Caenorhabditis elegans: one gene and its partners. The protein of the gene in region 3 purifies or fractionates together with the protein of the main gene of each other region. This does not show direct contact. Each region holds a gene or a part of one and is shown on either strand. Other genes may lie near its edges.

The links. Proteins that work in one complex are often made in the same cells at the same time.
Region 1: the proteins of dpy-21 (region 3) and sdc-3 purify together in Caenorhabditis elegans (affinity purification with western blotting, with the first as the bait; one study listed by BioGRID). This does not show direct contact.
Region 2: the proteins of dpy-21 (region 3) and sgk-1 purify together in Caenorhabditis elegans (affinity purification with western blotting, with the first as the bait; one study listed by BioGRID). This does not show direct contact.

What each region holds. Positions count from the first base shown.
Region 1 is NC_003283.11:15,045,173-15,049,885, forward strand, and holds the start of sdc-3 (Zinc finger protein sdc-3), read right to left. Parts: upstream 3,036-4,713; 5' UTR 2,934-3,035; intron 2,630-2,933; 5' UTR 2,620-2,629; coding exon 2,412-2,619; intron 1,879-2,411; coding exon 1,783-1,878; intron 1,736-1,782; coding exon 1,581-1,735; intron 1,527-1,580; coding exon 1,214-1,526; intron 1,037-1,213; coding exon 896-1,036; intron 574-895; coding exon 1-573. UniProt on the Caenorhabditis elegans protein: Component of the SDC complex that functions in sex determination and in X chromosome dosage compensation specifically in hermaphrodite (XX) animals.
Region 2 is NC_003284.9:16,256,017-16,263,928, forward strand, and holds the start of sgk-1 (Serine/threonine-protein kinase sgk-1), read right to left. Parts: upstream 6,036-7,912; coding exon 6,014-6,035; intron 4,113-6,013; coding exon 4,045-4,112; intron 3,297-4,044; coding exon 3,222-3,296; intron 3,175-3,221; coding exon 3,038-3,174; intron 2,981-3,037; coding exon 2,897-2,980; intron 2,264-2,896; coding exon 2,122-2,263; intron 2,068-2,121; coding exon 1,936-2,067; intron 1,851-1,935; coding exon 1,738-1,850; intron 1,661-1,737; coding exon 1,441-1,660; intron 1,022-1,440; coding exon 715-1,021; intron 1-714. Other genes in the region: mua-6 (Intermediate filament protein ifa-2), read right to left, coding at 6,465-6,515, 6,573-6,689, 7,634-7,795. UniProt on the Caenorhabditis elegans protein: Acts downstream of PI3 kinase age-1 and kinase pdk-1 in the daf-2/insulin receptor-like transduction pathway. Essential role in regulating development, stress response, and longevity.
Region 3 is NC_003283.11:17,946,133-17,951,160, forward strand, and holds the start of dpy-21 (Lysine-specific demethylase 9), read right to left. Parts: upstream 3,062-5,028; 5' UTR 2,897-3,061; coding exon 2,873-2,896; intron 2,825-2,872; coding exon 2,774-2,824; intron 1,911-2,773; coding exon 1,816-1,910; intron 1,649-1,815; coding exon 1,499-1,648; intron 956-1,498; coding exon 888-955; intron 409-887; coding exon 1-408. UniProt on the Caenorhabditis elegans protein: Histone demethylase that specifically demethylates dimethylated 'Lys-20' of histone H4 (H4K20me2), thereby modulating the chromosome architecture. Promotes chromatin compaction by converting H4k20me2 to H4K20me1 leading to transcriptional repression.

The DNA.
Region 1 (4,713 bases), 2.9 Mb from region 3:
GTGCTTTGGAGACTAATTCCGGGGAGAATTTTCTAAACTTTTTGAAATTAAGTTTAGTTTTCCTCCAGTCAGTGTACATTCGAAGAAATGGTCGAAGTGGAATTGACCACAAATATTGTTCTGTTCGAAGCAGTGCAAACATTGGAGAAGTGATTTCTTGATCATGAGTATTCTCGTTTTTTACAAGAACGGTAGCTAATTGGAACATTATCTCCAGCTCATTTTCTGGGCGAATATACTTTAAACGATGTTGTTCAACTCCAGAATAATCACGAACAGTCTCAATTGTAGCAACTTGAGGTATAAGTTCTTGGCAGACAGTCAAGTTAATCATGTCGTCAATACATTCCTTAACCTGTCTGATATCTTCGAGTGGCATATTATTTCGAAAAAGTTCCAGAACAATTGGCTTCAGATTGATTTCGGCATCGGTGGTGAATGTGACGTCGTCGTGGATAGATGCTCGATTCTCTGGTCTCATAATATACACGGATCTATTGAATTCCTCGTCTGTCACTTTTGATAAATTTTCTCGAAGCATCGTGATGTTTTCCTCGATGTTGTCTTCTTCCACTTAAAATATTATAACTTTTTATTAAAAGTTTTGAACATGGTGCTGTGTCAATGGGAAGTTTTGTCAATTTACCAAAACTTTGACAAACAAATCCGGGTAGTTTTTCCAGAAATTGTTTTAATTTTAAATTTTTCAGAAAATTAAATTGTTCCAGAAAGTTTCTAAAATCGTTGCCTATTCCTAAACACTCTTATAATAAGTTTGATACCGAAACCGCGAAATAGAATGGGAAAAAGAAAAAATTTGAAATTGAATAATATATTCACAAAATTTTTTAATCTCTAAACAGGCCGTAATTTTAAAAAGTGCTCAAAAACTTACGCCATTGCATTTGAAGTCTGTATACATCCCAGAACTCCTGCTCACATTGCGGGTCTGTCATATGGTAGACGTTTTTCCTTTGAAGTAGCTTCTTCACTTCACGAGCGGCATCTCGAATGTTGAACACACCTTGATCTCTCACTAAAACATGTATGAAGTTAGATCTCAAGTTTACTTTGGGGAGCAACATATTTTTACAGCATTGAAATTTGTTTTTCACAGTATTTGAAATTATTGAAAGAAAAACATGCTAACTATAAGTGTGATATTTTACAAAATTTGATAAAGTTAATTAATAAGCAAAAATCAGAACCTTACCTTTTTTGAACTTTAACCATTTCTCAAGAATATTTGAACGTTTGAATGGAGATTTCTTGTAGTAACGTAAACGGAATTGAGATCGAAATTTAAATGGTGTCACAATAAAGCAAAACCGATCCTTTCCAAGATATTTCGCCAACTTTAACAAATCAGGCGTGGCTGGTCGAATCTTCGAATGATGTACCACTGATGGTGGTTTAGAAAATGATGTTTCGGGATCTTTAAGCTCTTCTCTCACTACATCCCTGATACATTTCTCGAATGGAAGAGGAAATTGATAGGCGGCCATATACCGTTTGTAGTGCACGTCCTGGAAGATTAAGAGGTTTTTCAAATTTTTTAGTTAAAAAAAAAGTTAACTCACATTCTCCTTCGAATGCCATAAATAGTTCAAAAACTCTCCACCTCGTTTCCTATGGAAGATTCTTAATAGTCGTCGTCTTTTCCTTCTCGCCTGGTTCTTTTTGTACGTATTGGACATCTTGATCTTTTGGACGAGATCTCTATCAATTAGTCTAGCTGAAAATTTATTTTTCTAGGGAGAACCAAAGAAATATTGAGCTTACGCCACTCCCGAGGATATAAAGGGTTATACTCCCAATTACGGTGATCTGGTACCGGGATCATAAATGGATCATAGAAGTCGGCGGCAACGTGGTAGTCTGAAATAAATTAAATTTAGAATGTATGATGCATGTTGCATCGTAATCGCCCCTTTACTCGCCCTCGCACGATTCCAATTAGTTGTCATAATATTAACACATTTTCTATATATTTTTATGTATTTTTTGGATTTTAATGTCTTTTTTAGTTGACATTTTACATTTAAAAAATTGGAATTTCAACTTTAAACCATTAAAAACACTTTATTTGAAATTTTAAAAATGAAAAATATGTAAATGTTTACCAAAAAATTTGCATATTTTGAGATAATTATTTAACAGCTTCCATCTGGGCGAGGGATTTTAATTGCCTTTTCTGTCGCTTTCCTAGAGTGCGTTTTCTTGTTGCGGTTTTAATGAATATTTTTGAATATTATTTGTGTTAAAAAATGACTTCAGTTGACGACTTTTTCAAAAAAAAATTAGGTGTAAAATAATTTAATATTTTATGTATATTTTCATTCAGCTTTTGTAGAATCGAATGCTATTTCTATTTTGTTTCTATCAGTTTTTTTCAACAAAAATAAACTCACTGAGATCAGGTCTTTCTAACTCTCCATCCAGGTACAATCTACGTGCAGCGACTACAAGTTCCTGAGTGAACGTGACTTTTCCACGAATAGCTTTTCGAATTCGTAGCTCCACGGGTATGCTCTTGTCATTGACAAATGCAATCGATACACAGTTGGAGAATGGGCCATCTTCTTCAGTTGGGAGCACTATTGGTGGTTCGTCAGACATTTCTAATGCTCTGAAAATTAAATTTTAAGATTTTTAAACTTTGACAGCTTATGTCTCGCTTGTTTCACAAGATATCAAAAAGTTTCAACTAAAAAAATTGTATAATATTATTGTCTAATTTTTTGTAGTTGATAACGTTTTGATATGACTAGAAATGAGCGATAAAATTTGAAAATTTCAGAACTTTTCGAATTTTTACTTTCAAGATTTTTATTTCACATTTAAATAATATTTTTCCGTTTTTTTTCACTTCAAGTATTATATTTTAATTTTGATAAAAATTATTCACAATATTTTAAAACATAAAAACTCACTTTTTGAATAAATATGCAGAGGAAGTGATTAAATGTGATTTGGGAATCGGGATCCCCGGAAACCAAAACTTCTCATTTACCAGTGGCTCTTGTTTTTTTTCTCTGAAATTGAATTTAATCTTGAAAGCAAATAAAAAAAGAATTAATCAAAATGAGCGCGGGAAAATCTCACATTCAAAATTATAAGGCAACTAGCGTAGTTCGCAACATCTCGAGAGGGGGAGATGGAGAGAGTGTGTTAGAGATTGAGACGTAGAGATGGAAAGACACATGAAGAGGAAAGAGAAGAGGACAACACATGGGTGCATCTAGTGTTTTAGATAACTGATTTCAAAATAGGGTTATGGTAACTAGAAAAAAAATTGAGCAGAAGAAAAAAGTCTCTACATACTTTCAAATCAGAGGCCAAAAATTGAAAATTTCTTGGAAAGTTTCTTGAAAATGTCCATTTTTAAAAGATTGCAAAAAGTCAAATTTTTAAATAAAATCCCGTTTTTGAGTTCTGGCTCAAGAAAAATAAGTGTTAATCAAATCAGAAATTTTAGATTTTTAATTGCTTCAAATGATGAAATCTGCTAGATATCAGGACGAGACCCACAGAGAAAATTAACATAACTTGTCATATTTTATGGGTTATGATTTCTGGAAAGTTTAACGAGTGAGTAACTATGGAAACAGAAACTAATTGTCACAAGAGTCAGTTTTGAAAAACCTGACAAAACTAATTAACACAAAAATATGCATATACGAATCGATAGATGTAAGACTAGCATACGGACGCGCGAGCTGTTAAAAATCCACCGTATCTGGATGGCAAGTGACCTGACCTTTCTTCTGAAAACTAAACATTCATGCGTGTGAGCAAGTGGAGAGAGAAGAGTTGGTTCAGTTTATGATTTTTTGAAAGTGTAATGGAGTGAGTAACTATGGAAACATTTTGGAGATTCCCACGAGAGTGTAATACCCGAGATGTTACTTGCCAACATTTTGAAATGTAATATTAGGTCGGCAAATAATTTACTATTGACTTATTTTGTCAATTTACGATTTTTTGTAAGTTTTATATGCGTGACTTATAGTGAACCGTGAGTGTATAAAAGCATTCAATTATTAGCTACTTCGGCCTTCTAGTATAAGGATTCAAAAAAATCACTCAGTTGTCACCCAGTTGTCACTCAGTTTTTTTTAGCAGGCGGGCACTGGCAAAGTTCTCATGGTCTCTCTCGACTGCTTCCCTACATTTTATAGATAGTTACTTAAAATTTGGGTCTGATCTGTCCATAAGACGTCTTTTGAAGAGCATTTGTCGAGTTTCCTCCGAGAGTCGGTTGGCGGAGTGGATGGATGGTTGAATTACTGATTGATCCTGGGCTGTTTTGAGAGAGTCGACAAGGATCTTGTAGTCCTCATCAATATCTCCATGAGCAGGGGCAGTAATTGTTGCGCTGACAGCCAGAGCTGTAGCTTTATCCAAAACTCTTTTCGGGGGTTTTCTCCTTTTCACTTGATCTAGTTTCGCCAAATTAATGTTGAAATGGATGTTACTTTGGAGAAAACTACTTCAGTGATTCGGGGGAGGAGGTGCTTGTGACGATGAAGCCGACCCCTCCTGAAACAGAATTTGGGTTTCGAGATCCTAGAAAGATCTCGACCCCGTCGGCGCCAATTGCATGCTTTTCCGTTGCTCTTTTTGTTTCAGAGAGTCCGATAATATCGAACTTGATTCTCTTCGTCTCTTCGAGCAGTTCTGCAAGCCTGTCGTTGGAGGAGACAGACCTGC
Region 2 (7,912 bases), on a different chromosome or scaffold from region 3:
TACTTTTTTCCTCAGCTCATTTCATCTTAATATTTTATTTGGGCTTCTATTAAAATTAGACATTTTAATGAGATCAAAAACCGAAAAAGAAACTAATAAACTTTGCCGAGAAACAAAAGGAATCAAAAGACGTGGGCTTGAAAAATGAGGCTTTTTAAAAAGTTTTGGAAAGTTTGAAAACAGTTTTTAAAAAAATGAAAAAAATGTTTCAAATTTTTTCGCAGTCATTTTCGGTATATTGAGACTGTTCTTTTTGATTTTGAAAAGAAACCGTACAGAAAAAGGAAGTTTTTGAAGAAAAATGAAATTTTTGAAGACCTCTCATTACAAGATTTGGTCTTACTACATATTAGATGTCACTTTGAATAGAGCGTTGAACTAAGATTAGTTACTACAAATTTTTACATTCTTATTGGAACCAACCCTTCTCCCCAACTAGGGCTGGCATATTTGGGGTCCGGTTTTGGAATTTTAAAAAATTTTCAGAAAAAGTAGTTTTCACGGCGGCCGACAATTTCCGAGTTTGGCCACTCACTATACTTAATCATATACATAATTCGATAATGAGTGGCTAAACTCGGAAATTGTCGGCCGCCGTGAAAAACTACCTTCGGAAAATTCTCAAAATTCCAAAACCGGACGCGATGACCGGAAATATGCCAGTTCTATCCCCAACCATCCTTAATTATGCCAATTATTGTACATATATCTTACATGGATCAATTTGAATCTCCACGAACTCCTTTGAAATATTGGATGTATCCATTGCGTTTTTCACTTTCGGAATGAACGGAGCCTTAAGCTCACGATTCAGAAGCTTATCCCAATCAACCGGAAGGAAGAATGGATGATCACGAATGTCACGGAAATCATTGCGATGGCCCAGACGCTTTGAACGGTCTTTTTGCAAGAGCCCGGTGATGAGCTCACTGCATGGCACAGAGATGTTGTGCTTGAGACGAAGTGGCTGGTTGATGATCTTGTCGTACATCTCGTTATGATCTTTTGAGTAGAATGGAGGCTGAAATGATTGCTCTTTTTTGGGGGGGGGGGGAGCAGATTAAGAAAGTTATGTCAGGGAAATAAATCAAATCAGCAATTTTAGCTTGAACTATGTAATATTTTGTGTTCTGTGGTTTTGGGAAAATCACAGAACAAAAAGAAGAAGCAAAAGAAGAAGCAATTTTAAGTTTCTAGTCTGAATTACACATCAGGGCTGTACTAATAGAAAAAATATGGTAAATAGGTTATGTAAAACTTTTAGAGAAGGTCATTGGAACAAAAGTCGGCAGAGTTCTATTGCGCTAAGCTCTACGAAAAGCGGAAGAAAATTGCAGTTGTAACTACTAATTATAAAACTAGTCATCATATTTTTTAATAAACCAGCTATAATATTTCAGATTGTGTATTTCAAGTTTATGCCAACTCGGCAATCCTTACCAATCCAAAAATCATTTCATAGAGAACCGATCCCAAACACCACCAGTCAACAGTCTTGTCGTAAGGCTTTTTCAGAATAATTTCCGGGGCCAAGTACTCCGGCGTCCCACAAAATGTGGAAGTTGTCTTGCTTCCTTGCATATCTTCTTTACAGAGCCCAAAGTCGGTGAGCACCAAGTAACCTTTATCGTCCAACAGAAGGTTTTCAGGCTTCAAATCTCTGGAATGTAAATTTATATTTGCATATTGCCAAACCAATTTAGAGGTTTCTTTTTTTGAAAGCAAGTAAATCGCTACCTGTAGATAATGTTTTTCTCGTGAAGATAACCCAGAGCACATGCAATCTCGGCCGCGTAAAAACGACTTCTCGACTCGGAAAAATGTTTCTCGCGTTGGAGGTGAGAGAAAAGCTGAAATGCCACATTTTGAAAGTTTTATAAGTTTTCTATCGAGTCCATTCTTCCCTATATTAATCTAAACACATGGAATAGGTACCTCTCCTCCGTTCAAGTGATCGAGCACAAAATACAGCTTCTCCTTATTTTGGAACGAAAAGTGAAGTGAAACAAGGAAAGGGTGCTTAAAGTTGTTAATGAGCACATTTCTTTCTGCCATGACGTGTTTCACCTTAAAAACGTATTTGCTACTTATGTTCCAAAAACTTGTAACACTAATCAATACCTCGTTCTTTTTTCTGATATGTTCCTTGGACAGAATTTTCATGGCGTAGATTTTTTTGGTCTCCTTGTGCCTGACTTGGTAAACTCTTCCAAAGCTTCCTTTTCCGATAGTTGTCAGATAATCGAAATCATTGGCGGTGGCTCTGAAAATAAACTGCTAGAGGCAAAAAGTCTTGCAACGTATATATGAAACTCTGGTTTCTAAAATTTCCATAAAAATTATACTGTTGGTCGAAAAATTTTGAGTCGACAAAAATAGGTCAACATGAGATGGGAAAGCCAAAATTTTCGGAAAATAAGCAACACTTCCTATTTTGGAACGAATCAAAAATGGATGTCTTGTTTCAAAGATTGGAAAAATTTCAAAAACTTGGTAACGTAGCTATTTTAAGAGCAGATGAAACAAAATTAGAAGCTCATTGCAAACGTTCGGGGAAAAAAATCAAAAGTATTTAATATAGGTCTCCCATGAGGTCGTCGCGCAAGACGGATGTATGCGAATGTATAATGTTGCGCGGAACCCCGAACGTGTCGGCCGCTTCCAAACAACCATCTCTTCACACTACGTTGCGCACACACCAAGCTACTTATTTCACGACCAAGCTGCGGAACCCCGAACATGTCGGACGCTCCAAATAACTACATTTCGAACTTCATTGCAAACACACGGTGGCGTCGGGGTGAGGTCCGCATTTTGCGCATCACTCAGCTGGGAGCTCTACTTCAATATGTGCAACTTTGGCGATTTACCGCAAATCCTTATGGCCAAAACATACGTTTTCCTCTCACTTGGTCCGAGATCAACATTATTCTCATCATCATCCGGACTTTCGAGATGGAAGAACCGACGGACATCCTCACTGTAATCATTGTAATCAAAGAATTATAAACTATCCAACATAAATTAATCTCATTACCTTCTTAAATTATTATCAACAAGATGCTGACTAATCACAAGGATCCAAACACGTCTTTTCTCGTAGAACTTGCTGTCAGCTTGCAGGAACTTCTTTTTCGGCGCAGTGAAAATTGTAGCCGGGATCATATCCTTTTCCTGAAAGTCAATAAAAAGTTGGAAAATAAAAACTTGAAAAAACTGACAGTTGTAAAAAATCTTTCATATTCTTCAAACGTTTTTTGCATAATTGGGCCATTTCCGATACGGAGCGCGTAAACCTGAAAATATAATTTTATTTGAAAACTCGTCAAGTGTATTTAAAAAAATATTTCTGATTTGGGCATGTGTGACAAATTTGTAATTTTCTATTATAGTTACTCGCCGTGTAGTCTTCAGGAAAAATGTTTTATAATTGAAACTGAACGTGTAAACTTTAAAATATTTCTTGTGGAACACACAAATCTCAAAAGTGAACACGGTAAATCTATAAATTGCAAGTTGCCGGAATTGAAAACGTGCAAATTGCCGATTTGCCGAACTTGCCGGAAAAACGACAATTGCCAAAAATGTTTGGCAAATTGTGGTTTTGCACATTTTTAAAAAATTTCAGAATTTCAATTTTAATCGGAAAAATTGTACGCATGTTCCAACATATATTTTGAAAATTGAACAACTTCTATGTAAATAGCTAAAGAAAACGGGAAAAAGTTTCAAAAAGGGCCAATTTTCATGTGTTTCCGTCTTATAAAAATCCCTCTAGACATTTCCGGCAAACTTGATATCCGGCAGACGGAAAACCGACAATTTGCCAAAAAAGAAAATTTCCGGCAACTCGGCAAACCGGTAAATTGTCGGAATTGAAAATCTCCGGCAAATCGGGAAAACCGGCAATTTGACGATTTGCCGAATTTGTCGACAAAATTTTTTTCCGCCTATCCCTGCATCACATTATACTTTACGGACAAAAAATGAGATAATATTTATTTTTAAAACTCTTTAAATTAATCTTAATGCTCTCTAACTTACCACAGTTTTCTTATCATCTCCTATAATAACATTGCATGTCACCTCATCTTTCCTCACCATTCTCGACTCTGAAATATTCAAAATTAAATTATATTAAAACATTTATCGATATCAATAAAAAAATAAATTAATGAGCATAACTAAAACTCGTCAATAAAAATCGATTGCTATTTCCGGGAAGCAGATCATGACTTTTTCTTCGGCCTTATCAGTCCTTTGAGAGAGTTTCACTACACTTATCAATACTGCATAAGCACTTTTTGACATGAAACTTATGTTGAAAAGAAAATTGGAAAAGGTAGTATGGCTCTGGTTTCTCAACTCCATTAGAGGTAATGAAAGGGTAAAAAACTTCTAGAGAAGGAAAAAAAAATATCATCATCATAATTTCTTCCGGTTGATGCAGAAAGTGACGTCATTATTTGCATTTTGAAAGAATCATAGAAATCATAAAAAGAAGCATGCAAAGTAAATAGATTGTTAAGAGGTATATTTCAAGATGATATAGATACGTTAAAGAAAAAATTTAAACCATTAATAATTTATAAATTAATTTCAAAAATTAGATGAATGAAAATGTCTATTTTTTTATTTTTTCAAGCATAAAAATAATTATTTGAAACTCTCAAAATAGGCACAATGATAAAAAATAATTATTTTAATCCATTGCAAACCTTTTTTGTAGTTCTAATACTACACAAGTAAAACGTAATAAATTGAAAAAACGTATTCAGTTTTGATTTCAGAAAATGAAAGTTCAAATGAAAATTAAGCTGTCAAACAGAAATGCGTTATCAAATCATTACGTTTGACCAGTGGATTATTTTATGTCAGAATTGGAAAATTTGATTTTGAAATCATGAAGACTGAAGTATGTTTCAGAAAGAGTTCATTATATTATAATTTCTTGGAAAACCTAATGCATTGTATTTTCCTGTGAGCATTTATAGGTTTGTTAAAAAACATCTAAATTCATAATGAAAATTCAAAACTAGTAAGTTTATGTTTGAGTTAATGATCTATCTGCATTTTAAAGGTGAAGTAGCGCCAATGGGGATTTTGTCTAAATGCTCTTATTATGATCCAAAACGACAGAATATCATAATAAAAAACTGCAAAAATTTTAGACTTTTCATAATTTCCGGTCAAAGTTTTGGCAAATGGCCAAATTTCGAAAAATATGAGCTTGTGAGGAAATCCGAAGCATGGCCGCATGTTTAGACCCCTACAATGTTTAAATGTGAATAATTAAAACACAGTCACAGTATAAACAATGTAGAAAAACTTTTTTTTTTCGGACGACTTCCAAAATTTTGAGTAAAAACTAAATAATTGTCACTTTTTGAGAGTAAAAAAAAAATTTCAAAAATTTTTTGAATAGTTTTATTTTGATATTCCATTAATTTGAGACCATAGGCGTGGTTTTTGACAATTTCCCCCACTGGCGCTACTCCACATTTAAAGCACATTTTAAAAAAAATTTATGATAACTTCTCACAGGTGTAGTAGCGAAATTTGGATTAATTTTTTAATTGGGTCAAAATGACCCCAAAATATCGAATTTAATTTATTTTTATTTCTGAAAAAAATAAAAAATACAAAAAACTACATTTTTAACTTGTCAACCTATGTTTGTCATAGTTACCCAAAATTGATTTTTATTAAATTTTATTGAATGTTCTGTTTTTCTATGTATTTTTAATGAATATATTTATTGTTATGACTTTTTTCGTTGATTAAGTTGTTTTCAGGAGTAAGAAGTATTTTTTGCACCCATCAACTAATGTTTTCAGACCGCCGCAACTGTGACATGTTGGCAGAAATCTAGGTTTTATCTGGAAGAGCTAGGTTTTCAAAATTTTATCAGCCATTTAAAAAAATTGAGACTTTTAAGACATTTCAGATTTTGAATTTCTTAAAACAAATACAAACATTTCACAGAACCAGCCAGGTTTAATCTTTGACTCACCATTATAATACATGCTGCCCATTGTCACAGTAATGCTCTCGTATTTAGAATAACCGCCACCAGGTCGAATGTGGGTTTTCGATGTATCTTGTCTCGTGTTAACTGATTAGAATCGCTGGGTTGGACCTTGTCTTCTTATCACGGCTCACCGAGCCATTCGTCTGACTTTCTTATTTGCTCTTGATCACGTTATCACCTTTAATATTTCCCCACCTTACTTTTCCTATCAATGTTTCAAATGAAAAATGAACATTCCATATGGCAATTTTTTGATCTGTATAAAGTATTTATTGTTGAAAATGAGTAAGTTACCGGAGGAAAAAGAAACAAAAAAGTGAAAAAGTATATAGCAAACGGAAAAAATGCAAACAGGCAGGCAGCAAAGAGTTGGGGTTCAGATTTCTGGTACAAAGAGAAGAAAACAGTAAATAGCTCAAGCAAAAAGCTAGATTTAGGAAGATGTCGTTTGTTGGCTTTGACGTTGGATGTGTGTCGCGCGCTCCTGCAAAGAAAAAAATAACATTTTATTCTGCACGTAAATTTTTGGGGGTTGAATTACCTCTCCCTTATTGTTGTAAAGGATTGTTTGAACGTTGGCGCCAACACCGAATGTTTCGTCACCTTCGAAAATGAGCACTTCTGGAGGATTGGCGATTCCTTGTCCGCGGGCGAAGATCTGGAAATGTAGAAATTTGTCTTTACAGTGGTTTTTTTAATGTTAAAACACCTCACTTGAATTTCTTTTTTTTTTATGAAAAATGTTTTGTATGAAATTGATTGAAGGTGGAGTAGCGCCAGTCGGGAAATTGTTAAAAACCACTCCTTTGGTCCAAAAATGACCAAACATCTTGATAAAACTTTTCAAAAAAAATTTTTAAATTTTTTATTTACTGTCAAAAAGTGGCAATTACTCAGTTTTTGCCACTCATAATTTTGGAAGTCGATCAAAAAAAAAATTTTTTTTCGACATTTTTTATGTTTTAATTTTGTTTGTATTAAAACATTGTAGGGGTCGAAACATGCGACATTTCTTTGAATTTCCTCAAAAGCTAGTATTTTAAAATTTTTTGGGAATTTGCCAAAACTTTGACCGGAAATTATGAAAAATCTAAAAAAAATTTTGGAGTGTTTTATTATGATATTCGGTTGTTTTGGATCATTATAAGTGCATTTAGACAAAATCCCCACTGGCGCTACTCCACCTTTTAAATAAATAATTGCTTCTTTCAAATTCATTTCTTATTCAAACCTTATTTGAAAACATTTTTTTTCAAAGCTGACCTAAATAATCTCACATCTCATCTGTCCCTTTTATTGATTTCTGTGAACAACGTTTGTCTTCACAGTTTCCATCAATTTGTTTATCACTTTTTATTCCTTCTTTTTCTCCTACATACATCCCCAATCTTTCTTTTTCGAAGCAAAGTTACCCCCCCTTTAGTCATTACGGACGGATGACCTTGCCACACCCAAACGCAATCGCGCATTAGATTATCAATTCGACACACACACACAGAGACAACAACACATTTCATTCTGAGACACCAATTTGAAATGTTTTATACGCGACAGGTCCTGGGTAGCTAGGCTTGTTTCTGAAAGAAGTAGAAATTCGCAAACCTTGACAGATTGGAATGGGTGGAGGATGTAGTCGGATGGGAAGGTGAAGACGATCTCGCGTTTTCCGTCGATCTTTCTCTTAAGCTTCCAGTCTCCGAGTGGCTCTTCTTTGGCTCTGTGTGTGTTTTCCAAAATGACAAATTTGCCTTCTGGGGAGGTTTCCTGAAAAGAAATTATCATTATTGAGTATGTACTAAGTGATAAATTGATTATTTTTATGTCGGAATGATATTATTAGTGACTACAGTCAATGGCCATTGGAAGTTTTAAATTTTTGAA
Region 3 (5,028 bases):
TACTCTCCACACTATTGAATCGTTCTCTCGGCACTGGGGATCTCAGCATCCCGGGTGACATCGTCGACGATAGACAAGCAACTGGTGGAAGGATCGGCGGAGGTGGGATGCCTGATCCATTCCAGCTACGGATTCCGATTGGCTCTTTGGTCCTTAGATCAGGCATCGGAGGCTTCGGAGGCGGTGGAGGTAGGCGATCGCGGTAGGCAGCCGCAGCCGCCGAGGCAGTCATCACTGGTGGTTGTGGTGGTGGAATGATGGGTGCAGGTGGTTGAGTGACATAGTTCGGACGAGGTTGATAGTACGGCGATGGATTCATGTGTGGATAGTATGGGGCGCCGTTGGACATTGATGGTGGTGGTGGATGTTGGATGTAGTAGGATGGTGTCGCCGGATGTTGGGAAGGGCCTGAAAATTGGAAGCTTCTCTTTTTTTTAGGCTTGAAGGTTCTTTTTAGGCTTTAGGTTTAGGCTTGAAAAGCCTGAAGAAATCGGATTTTTCTAAGGATTTTCAGGCTCGTTAGCTGGAAATTTTCGATTTTTCGAAATTTTTTGGTCGAATAATCCAATTTTTATGACTGTAAAGGGCTTTAAAGTTGGGAAAAATCGCAGAAATGCGAATTTTTCCAACTGATTTATGACAAAAATTGAGATTTTCGGTGGTTTTTTAGCTTAAACATGAGAAAAATGTCAATTTTTCAACTAGATTTTCGGGCTTAAGCTCAATTTCAATAGTTTTAACTAGAAAAATTCTGAAAATTTCAAATTTTTAGATGAATTGTGTCAAAATCCTCAGTTTTAGAGGCTCAATTTCAGGCCGAAAAAACCAAAAAACGCCTAGTTTTCATGCTCCAAAATCGTTAAAGTACTGCAAAAATCAATAATTACCAGGAATTCCTTGTTGTGGCATCATCATCGTCGGATACGGATACGGATATCCTGTAGAGCTGCCGTATCTGAAAACATTGGGAATTTTAGAGCTCTAAATTTGAAGACCCCCAAAAAATATTGGCTTAAAATTCAAAATTTACGTGAAATTTCAAATTTTTTATGGAAAAATTTGTGAAAATTGCGGAAGAGTGGTGCTTAAAATACTTTCAGGAAAATAATTTTTGAAAAAAAATTTTTTTTTGTTGGAATTTTTGAATTTTTGAAAATTCAAAATTTAAGTGAAATTTTGGAATTTTTTTAGAAAAAAAGTATAAAAACTGCGTAAAAGAGCTTAAAAAGCATTAGAAACACCAAAAAAGACTCTACAAAAATTAATGACCACTGTCGGGGGTCGAACCCCGGACGGGTGGGTGCCAGTCGGACCGCTAACCGACTGAGCCACTTGCTCCCCAAAGCAAAAAAAATAATTTTGAACTTTTTTCAAGTTTTCGCCTAAAATTCAAATTTTCAGTGAAAATACGAAAAAAAAATTTAAGTTTTTTCGTCAAAAAAAAAACTTTTACCAAAAAAAAATTTTTTTTCGAAATTTTAAAAAAGAAAATGCTCACGTTGGATAATAGGAATATGGAGCAACAATTGGCTGCTGCTGTTGCTGCTGTTTTACAGGCTCATCCGGCGGTGGAAGAGGCGGAGTTTTAGGCCCACGGCGTGGGCGGTATTCACTATAATCATTGTCATGGCTGCTGCTCGTGTGTCCGCTGAAAATTGGGGAATTTTTTTTCAAAATAATAATTTCCAGAGATTTTCAGCTATTTTTGGGTGAAAATTGGAATTTTCTAAAGAAAAATGTCAGAAAATAGGTCAAATTTCAGCTTCAAAAATTTAGGCCAATTTTCAGCCGAAAAACCAAAAAAAAATCGCCTACTTCTGAGGTCCTTGTGGTGCTGGAACAAACGAATCATTGCTCAGTGATGAGCTCGACGAGCACGGCCTTTCGTTGGCTTCTGTGGGTTCTCCGTCCTGTAAAAATCGATTTTTTTTTGCGGTTTTATGTCGAAAATTGGGTTTTCACTGTGTTCTCAAATACAAAAATTAACAAAATTTTCGAATTTATCGTCAAATTTCAGTTCGAATGGTAATTTTTCAACAAAAAAAAATTTTTTTTTGGGTGCACAAGTGGCTCAGTCGGTTAGGGGCCCGACTGGCACCCACACGTCCGGGGTTCGACCCCCACTGTGGCTCATAATTTTTGTAGAGTTTTTTTGGCATTTCTACATCAAAACTTCGTATTTCTATCGAGATTTCCGGTGAAACTATGTTCTTTCAAGTCCAAAAGTCGTCGATTTTTAGGCATTTTTTGCTCTAAAACTGAGAAATTACGAGAATTAGAGGTTTTCGGCCTTATAAAAACTAAAATTTGGTTTCAAATTCGAAACCTACGGAAAAATTCAGATCGAATTCTTTTTTTTTTGTTGAAAAAAACAATTTTTTTTGGTGCAAAAGTGGCTCAGTCGGTTAGTGGCCCGGCTGGCACCCAAATGTTTGGGGTTCGACCCCCAGCTGTGGTCATTATTTTTTGTAGAGTGTTTTCCGTGTTTCATCACAAAATAAATTGGGTATTTGATTAGACAATCAAGTTTTTTAGACTTTTTTGACTCCAAAACTGATAAATTTCGATAATGAGAGGTTTTCAGCATTTTCCAAACTAAAATTTGATGACACATTCGAAATCTACGCAAAATTTCAAATCGATTTCAGTTTTTTTTTCGAAATTTTTTTTTGGGTGTGCAAGTTGCTCAGTCGGTTAGGGGCCCGACTGGAACCCACACCTCCGGGGTTCGACCCCCGGAAGTGGTCAAAAAAAATTTTTTCGAGCTACTTACAGGTGTTCTCGGTCCACGCGGACGTCTCGGCTCTTCAGGAGCACCAGAGTTCTGCAAAAATCGATAATTTTTTGGGATTTTTTTTCCTTCGAAACAAACCTTATCAAAAGTGGTGCTTCTCATATTTTATATCACTTTCAGACAATTTTGTTTGGAGATTTTTTTTTTTTGATGTTCTTCTTCTTAATGTGCAATCATTCTTCCTTCAAAATTGTCGTTCAAAGTGCAAAATTGTTGTTCGGTTTTGTTTTTTTTCTGTGTTGGCGCAAATTTGGGTCTGAAATTTGGAAAATTTTTTAGAGTAAATCGGAGAAGAAATGCGGAAAATCTAGGAAAATTTGAGAAAAAATAGGGATTTTTCGGTGAAAAATAGACAAATTTGGCACAATTTCGATGAAAATCCATATAAATTGAAAGAAAACGCTGGTAGCACAACTTTAACGTATTAAAATTTCCGGCCAAAAAGCTATTGCTTGCAGGAATATTCAGGAGAATCAGAATTAAAATAGATTCGAGATACATTCCATTTTAATTAAGCCTATGGCTATGACGAATTCGGAGTTAAACACGAATAAATTAAATTTTCCCAAAAAAAAAATCGATTTCTCAATTTAAAACATAGTTCTTAAACACTATAAAGGGCAATTTAATAAACTGAATTAATAACTATAGAGTTAATTAAATCATGCTCGTTATAACTTTTGATTAAAAGGATTTCTGATTTTCGTAATTTAACTAATGGGGTTATTCAAGTAATGTTGTAAAAAAATTATTAAAATACATGTTTTTATGTATTTTAATTAAGCAGCTGTGATGTCATTTTTCTACACTTTTTCAATTTTCCGCGACACTACTCGAATAATCCCATAAGCTATAATGGAGCACTTGTTTTATTCATGAAAATCTTAACTTATTGAGTTAAAAACATTATTTATGAACGCAAATTATTTTAATAACTTATTAATAATACGTCAAAGGTGAAATTAAACAAGGTAAGTTCATAAATAATAGCTATATTCGGATTTCTATATTCTATTGTTAATTTAGTTATAGTCTAATCAGAAGTAATAAGGACGGAATGCGGAAATCGCAACAAAAAAAAAAGGTTTACGAGAATTTGTGTTCTATAAACAATACGAGCATTCGGAGAGAAATATGACACTTTTTCGAAATATGCTAGGAAATTATATTTCAATATATTTAAAAGTCCTCTATAATAATAATTATTATTGATTTAATTTAATTGTACTCTATTATCAAAATATATAAACTGACATGTGAAACGTGGCTTATTTTTTATTTTTCCTTTCGTTGAAATTTTAATTTATTAGTTCATTTTAAAAAAATGGGAGGAGCTCAAATAAAAAACAAAGCAAAAAAAATAAGCCACGTTTCACATGTCAGTTTATATATTTTTGATAATAACGAAGAATTTAAATTAAATTATTAAACGTACTCATTATTAACGCACCAACTTTAAAAAGGTGGTGTAATTATATTTTTACTACGTCAAAAGTGAAGAAGCTTAATTTTTTTCTATACTAGTGTTAATTATAATAATTTCTTAATTCTAAGCTCAAAAATAATAGTTACATTCGAAATTCTTCCCAAACTATAATTTCGGTTAATCTGAGTCGATAAATGAAAAAAAAAATCGTTTAATTAAGTTACTAACGAGAATTTAAAATATTTCGCAAACTTTGCAAATTTTCTTCAAGAAAATCTGAAAAATATAGAAAAGTCTATATATCGTAAATATTAACGTGATAATGAATAGTGACAGCGGAATTATTTTTTGAACAAGACGAGGCTTTCAAATTCTTATTTTTTATAAATTAAACTTATTAGCAAAGATACTTATCACGATTTGTTAGTAACTATTTAAATTAGTAAATAAAGTAATTTTACTCATTCAATGATTAAAAGTAACTAGTAAGGAAGTATTACATTTAAATCAGCTTCTATAATAAAACATTAACGATAAACTAAAAACTAATGGGGTTATTCAAGTAATTACGTCACAACTGTATTAAAATACATAAAAGCATGTATTTTAATACAGTTTGTAACATTACTTGAAATAAACTAAACCCCATAATTTATATGATTTAAAACTAAATCTCCGCTTAAAAAACATTAATTTCTACCCATTTCAAATAAAATCGGCTTTCGAAATAAATTGAAATGAATTAACCTTAGAACTTTCTAATCAAATTGTTTGCTCTTTCTAAACTATATATTCAACTAAACCACAA